Arabidopsis thaliana: one gene and its partner. The protein of the gene in region 2 interacts with the protein of the main gene of each other region in a pairwise test. Each region holds a gene or a part of one and is shown on either strand. Other genes may lie near its edges.

The links. Proteins that work in one complex are often made in the same cells at the same time.
Region 1: the proteins of AT4G37710 (region 2) and WRKY43 interact in binary tests that used the Arabidopsis thaliana proteins (3 or more experiments, as listed by UniProt).

The regions. Positions count from the first base shown.
Region 1 is NC_003071.7:18,955,406-18,959,153, reverse strand, and holds WRKY43 (WRKY DNA-binding protein 43), read right to left. Parts: upstream 1,943-3,748; 5' UTR 1,901-1,942; coding exon 1,752-1,900; intron 1,666-1,751; coding exon 1,485-1,665; 3' UTR 1,229-1,484; downstream 1-1,228. Other genes in the region: KPHMT1 (ketopantoate hydroxymethyltransferase 1), read left to right, coding at 2,743-3,144, 3,512-3,748. UniProt on the Arabidopsis thaliana protein: Transcription factor. Interacts specifically with the W box (5'-(T)TGAC[CT]-3'), a frequently occurring elicitor-responsive cis-acting element.
Region 2 is NC_003075.7:17,716,484-17,720,229, forward strand, and holds AT4G37710 (VQ motif-containing protein), read left to right. Parts: upstream 1-1,644; 5' UTR 1,645-1,750; coding exon 1,751-2,122; 3' UTR 2,123-2,288; downstream 2,289-3,746. Other genes in the region: PSK6 (phytosulfokine 6 precursor), read right to left, coding at 2,478-2,612, 2,707-2,835. UniProt on the Arabidopsis thaliana protein: May function as negative regulator of flowering transition.

The sequences.
Region 1 (3,748 bases), on a different chromosome or scaffold from region 2:
TTTTTTTTTGGTGTTGTTTCTTCAAAGGATCAGATCTCTCTTTGTCTCTCTCTCTCTTTTCTAAAGTTTATGGCGCTGTCGGTTCTATATATTTTGGTACCTCTTTTAAGGATGATAAATACCTTAATTGCCGGAGCGTGACATTTTTGATTTTTCTTTGGTTGTTGGAAAAGGAATAATATAATAATTTTTCCATCATTAGAAAAGGAATAAGATCCTTTTTTTAGAGCATCATGGTCATAACGTGCGTTCTTACTTCTTTGCTCGTCCGAAAAAAAGATGAAACATGTTTATTATAGAATATACTACAATTATATTTTGTATATTATGACTTTTAAATTAGCAATATGTTTTAACTTTTAAGCAATATCCTAAAAAATTAATTATTAGTTGTTTTACTATTATGACCAATTATTTTTAATAGATTTTAACATTATCAAAACTTAAACTTTAAAGATATTTAACAACTACATGTTGAGTAGTACTACTTTCTAAACATTAATTTTTGGTAAATAATCCCAAGAAGATGAAAATATAAGAGATTATTTTATCTTCCTAAAATTAGTCAAAACATATATATTTTATAATTTTAAAGATTATTTGAGATTTAGAGGTATACATACTTACCTTCCCATTGATTGCATTTGCTTAAGTTGAAAAGTGGATTTATATATGGAAGAAGAAAAAAAATATGAAAATGTAGTTTTTTTGTTTCTTCTTTTAATTCGGCAATCCATATTTATTAGTACACTTTGTGGCTTCAACTTCGCCAAGACTTGTTCGCTTCTTATTTTCGGTGACTATTTAAGGATGCTGATCAAAACTTGAAAGCAATTCATGTAATATATCGGAACTGACTTCGTACATGTGACATGTCTCATTGACATTGTTCATCGTGTAAATAAACAAAACAATAATCACTCACGATAAGCCAATAGGTTTATTCAAACGAAAGGAAACTGATTTGGCTTGAGAAAAATCTATGGAAACCAAATCCGGTTTTATTCAGTTTACCAGACGATATTGCTCTATGCCTCTCTATAATCATCACGTGGTAATCGTTTTACCGGAATATTACAATTGATTTGTTTTTTTATTTTGGTTATATGCTTAAAACTGATTTATAATCAAAACGAGATTGCAACTATGAACATGCAAACATATATGATTACAATGCTTTAATTTGCTCCGTTATATGAACCATGGAACATTAGACCATCTCCACCAGTAAAAATAAAGAAAGTTTCTCAAAAACATATTAATTAATATTTTAATCAAAACAGATACATTAATTATTATTTAATAGTTGAACTAATAGTGTGATTACACCTGTCCAATCATCCGAGAAATTTAACTCTCCTTCTCTCCTACTTTTTCTCCCTTCTCTCATATTTTTTTTTTAATTTTTTTTCTTTTGTTAGGTATCTCATTGAGATACTTCCATTGGAGATGCTCTTAGAACGTTAATATATATACAAACATAATTAGGTGAACTTAGAGAGGAACTGCAATTGATGAAGAAGAGGAGTTAGGGTTTGCATGAGCTCCTCACAAGGATGGTTATGGATTCCTTCATAAGTTGTCTCCACAATGCTCGTCTCCTTCGACAGCCTCTGAACTTGCTTCTTCACGTTACACATGTGTTGTGTGCATCTATAATAGCTCCTTTTGATGATCATAAGTGAGAAGAAACACACAAAAAAACAATCTTTTTAAAAACAATTTCAGATTATTTATGTTAAAAAGTTTACCTGGGATACAAGCTGTTCTTGACGGATTTCTGACCGTACTTTCTCCATCGATAACCATCATCGAGAATATCTGCATCACTCTTTGTGCGAAACGAAAATCGCGGATTTTTCATCTTCTTATCTCGAGAAGAGTCGACGAGGCCATTCATTAATGAAGAGGAGATATGATGAATCAACGAATTGTGTGTTAGAATTCTTCGTGTGATTTATATTGAAGAGATATATAAAAAGGTTTAGAAGCCAACTACATTCAACTACTTCAGACCAACAACAACAAAAAATTCCTTCACGTCATCTCACACGTGTGTGACTTAAAAAACAGAGACATGGTTTGGTCTTTACTTGAACTCCTGGAAACTGTAAACAGTAGAATCCGGTTTTGGTATCACAATGCGCAATCTCATAAAAAAGAACCGAAGCTACGATCTTAAAGGAGCTCGTGCAGAACCCTCGGATGCTCTCCAACTCCAAGAGAGTTCCAACTAGTAACCGCGATCTCAATCTCTACATTTCTCTATCTAAACCCAGAAACGGAAAAATAAAAAAGGAATCGCCTTTGGAACAGAAGTTCAATAAGATCGAAACAGAGACTGGGTTAGGCTAGAGCCTAGAGAGAAACAGAGACTGGGTTAACATAACCAGACTGAACCAAAATCCGGTTTAATATAGTAAAGATATTTTAAAACTATCTCCGTTGCCGGGACTCGAACCCGGGTCTCTCGGGTGAGAGCCGAGTATCCTGACCAGCTAGACTACAACGGATCTTGTTGATTTCGTTAAAATATTGAATTTATAGTTAAGCTATCACAATTCCTAACAGTGTCATTGCTATGCTTGATTTGTGTGTGAAACCCAGAACTGAATCGCCACTTGCCAGAATCTAAACAGCGTCCTCACTCACTAGGAATTGAATCTTCTTAAAAGTAAAATTCCTTGTTCTTGTAAACACAGACACAGTCACAGATAAGAGGGTTTCTTCATCTTCACAACAATGGCGTCCTCACTCACTAGGAATTGCTCTCGCTTCTCAAAAGCCATCTCTGTCCGTTTCATGAGTAACCTACCGGAAAACACCGTCTACGGAGGACCAAAGCCACAAAACCCAAACCAAAGAGTGACGCTAACGCATCTCAGACAAAAACACCGGAGAGGAGAACCGATCACCGTCGTAACTGCCTACGATTACCCATCCGCCGTTCATTTAGACACAGCTGGTATCGATGTTTGTCTTGTCGGTGACTCAGCTTCCATGGTTGTTCATGGTCACGACACAACACTTCCTATCTCCTTAGACGAGATGCTTGTTCATTGTCGTGCCGTTGCTCGAGGCGCTAAACGACCTCTCCTAGTTGGTGACTTGCCATTTGGTACCTACGAGTCAAGCTCTAGTCAGGTAATGTTATAAAATTGAATCTTTTTTTCTTCTAGATACCTAAATTAAACATATTTGTTGATAAGGCATGTTCTTCTGCTTAATTTTTGTGTAGGTAATTAGATTCTTGATTGCAATTTCAATACCTGAATTAATCACAACACTCAGTGGGACTTACAATGTTCAATTCATTTCCTGATCAAATGTTTAGGTGATTGGATTCTTGATAAAAAAAGTCTTAAATGATACATTATGTGTCAATGTGTCATTGCCTGTGTAATCACAGATTTAGCTTTAGTACTTGCTTATGCAAAGTAGATTCTTTACAAGATTTTGTGTCAATGAAACAAATTAGGGACCTGATTTTGGGTTTAAATGTTGGCTTCAGGCGGTTGATACTGCGGTTAGGGTTTTGAAGGAAGGAGGAATGGATGCGATTAAGCTCGAAGGAGGATCAGCTTCTAGGATCACTGCTGCAAAAGCTATAGTTGAAGCAGGAATTGCGGTTATTGGTCATGTGGGTCTAACCCCTCAGGCGATTAGCGTTCTTGGTGGTTTCAGACCCCAAGGCAGAAACATAGCTAGTGCTGTTAAAGTTGTTGAGACTGCAATGGCTTTACAAGAA
Region 2 (3,746 bases):
GTATCACTTTATTCGTGAGTGCGTTGCGAATGAACAAGTTGAGGTGGAGCACGTCCCCGGAACCGAACAGAGAGCCGACATTCTAACAAAGGCACTCGGGAGAATCAAGTTCAAAGAGATGAGAGATCTTGTGGGAGTTCAAGATATGACAAAGTGTAGCTTCAAGCTTAAGGGGGAAAATGTTGGAGTAAGCTTGAAGCTTACTTGAAGAAGAAGCAATCAAGCAAAAAGGAAATTAAAATTAGACTTTGTGTTTAGGAAGTTGCCTAAATACTTATGTGTGTTTTCCTAATAGGATTAGGAAATTGTCTAGTTCTTTTCTTATATAAAGGAGTTGCAAGAGTGTTGCAAAACTTATGAGTTGAGAGATTAAGATTGTGTGTTTTTAGGTTTTGAGTTATTTTCTTAAAGCAATAAAAGAGAGAGTCTTTTATTCATAATCTTGTTCTTATTCTTGAGTTTGATATATAGTTTGAATCAATATATTTTACAAGCATTCGTCACACATCTGATATATACACATTCCACACTCAATCAAAGTATGGCACGGCACAATCCCAATGATGCATTTAGATTTCTCTCTTCTATGACATTCTCCTTCCATCACTACTCCATCTGCACATCATCACTTTCATCATCAAGGCGTTTTCTTTACATACTCCGGTTGAGTTTATGCTCTTCTAAAAAACCTGCAAAAATCAAATCAAAATTTTCATTACAACGCCTTCTGAATTTCAGAAAACTATGTGCAACATAATCATGCAAGTATCATATACTAATCTAAAAATAAAATAAAAACCTTTATGCCCAAATATCCATTTCAGACATATATTTTAGTTTTTCAAAGAAACTAATCTTCTTAATAAAACAGAACTAGGATTGTTATTTTTCCTATATATCAATATGAACAATTAAATTCAAGTAGATTCTTTCAAGACTGCCTAATTTATTTTCCATTTCAAGACAATTTTAAGACTAATCTACCAAATCAAATAACCACGAGAACAGAGGTTAAGCTTCTTTGTTATTATCATCTTATGTGACCTCTTCCAAATATATATATATCTCAAATGTTTTAAATCTGAAAGATATCTAGAGCATCGTAGTTAAAGAAATAAACCAAAAGAGTTACCGTTATGTAACGTTCAAATTTACCTTTTTCTCTAACGTTCCGACTGACGTGACTCTTATGCGCACTGTATTACTAGAAATCAAAATAATAGATTAGTTTGTTTTTTTGTTACGGCTAATAGATTACTTGTTATAAAAGTAAATAAAATAAAAAGATCAAGGAATCCGATTAGATTCAAATCCGAAGGCTATTGATAAGTACTTAATCTTCTTACCATTACAGATAATATCAAACCGTCACGTGGACAGCCACAGCTTTCTTTATTATAATATTTGATAAAGTATTAATTCAGTTTGATTAAAGAATCTTCCTCTTAATAGTTTAATCCTAATCAGAAACTTCGAAAACTATCAAATCAATAAAATATTAAGAACACACACGTTGAAAATTCCCCTTTCACTTATGATTCTCATAAACAAAACTAAGAAAAACAAACAATGTTCTCAATAGTCAATTCCCTAATAAGAGTCAAAAACCAAAGGCTTGACCCTCGTTGAACATGTTGCACATCCATCATTATATATCAGAAGAACATAACTTTCACATTCAAAGATCAATAAATATCAGAAGAACATAACTTTCACATTCAAAGAATTTTAAGCGACATCTCAAGTCTCAATGGAAGCAACATCACAACAATTTATGTCTCAGAGTTACCTTAACGCTCAAGAAACCACCACAAGGGCAACGAAAAATTACCTAACTTCGCTCCATTCGACACGTAAACAACCTTCAAAGCCCTTGAAGAGGCCTGCAATATCATCACCTTTGAATCCAATGCATCCTCATGTCTACCGAGTCGAGCCAGTAAACTTCAAAGTGTTGGTTCAGAGGCTAACCGGTGCACCTGAGCACGAGACTGTGCAGGCTAAACCGCTCAAGACTTCGGATGATGCAGCAAAGCAGAGTTCTTCGTCATTTGCGTTTGATCCATCATCATCTTGGGGAGATTTCTCATTCCAAAATCCTGCAAATATTTCCAGATGGTAGCTTCTACTCTTGCAAAATGCTTCTTTTGATTGAAATGCTTAACATTCTTGTATTTATTTTTAGTTTGTTTTTAATAAACCAGAAAGATGTAATCATATATTTTTCAGACTCGCATTCTAGAATTAATTTGTTATGTCATTTATCTGTAACACACACATAATTTGTGGGAGTTAAGACTTTTGATTAAAATAAAACATAATTGGATTGATTAAGGATTCTAACTACATTGGGAATAATTTGATATTTTCATTAAAAGAATAAATTGAATTAATCAATGATTCTATATACACATGTTTAACATGTGAGAATAATTTGAAATTCACAACAATTAACGTTAGAATAATTTTACAGCTAATTAATGATGATTATTCTTATGTGTGTAGATATAATCAAGATGAGCCGTCAATGTTCTTCTCACCAAGCAATCTTCGTCGTCTTCTTTATCGCAGCTCTCTCCCGCCACCTCATGTAATTTTGATTCTATCATTTCCTGATGAAACACAATGAAACATAAAATTACAAACGAAAATATATAACTACGCATGAATCAACATTCAACATGTGTTTACGCATATAATACTAACCAGACTAAGTGTATCCGCCGGAGAGGTTGTGAAGGAGGCGAAGTAGGCAGGTTCAGGGCGGGCGCTGCACGTTAGCATGGTGGCGCAAAGGAGGAGAGCTATCGTGATCAAAGTAGAGAGATTTGCCATTTTGTGATTATAGATTAATTAATTATGGATATATTGAAAACTAATGACCAAAGCATCTTTATATATAGTCAATCATGGTCAACTCTTTTCTTAATCTAGTTCTTATTTTAAGAAGAAAAAAATTAGAGTGTTTTGTTCTTATCTTTTTCATTTGTTAATGTTTTTATCTATTAAAAATGTAGTTGTAAAAGTTAAAAAAAGAAAGAAAGAAAGATGTATATCTCTTTCACTCGTTTTCAAAAAGGAAACAAATGAATGTGTAATATTCAAAATTTTATAGTATTTTAAAATTATATATAAAGAAAAGTGGATTTGATAAAAGTTAGGTTATACCAATATGTTTCTAAAGATTAACCATCACACATTACCTCGATTTATATTGGAAACATCTAGAAGTATATTTATAGGGAGGTTAAATGGACTGAATGTTTTTTGCTACTACTGATTATTATTATTTTGCCATAATTTGCCACTGGTGCTGTTAAGGGTAAAGGAGATTGTTAATTGGACCAAAACCAATCCCTTTTTTTTTTTTTTTCCAAAACCAATCCCTAAGAATAATAAAAGAACTTTTTTTGTTTGGCATTAGTCTATCAAAAACGTTGACCTGTTTTTACGTGAAGTCAACCGTTGATTTTTTCATATTGGGCCAAATATACCAATATACTGGCCCAATGCAATTCAAGCATGATGGTGGTACAGTCGGAAATAAAAAACTTGAAAGTTGAAACATACATTACTTTAACCCGATTTAATTAGTAGGTCGACACGCAGAAAAACAATTTATGAATTGGTTATCAGTAATTTGATGTCACTAATTAGTACAATTATCGCAATAGTTGCAGGCCCCAACCACTATAATGTTAATATCACGAGAAACCAATCGATTTTTAAAGTTGCAAAGCAAAGAA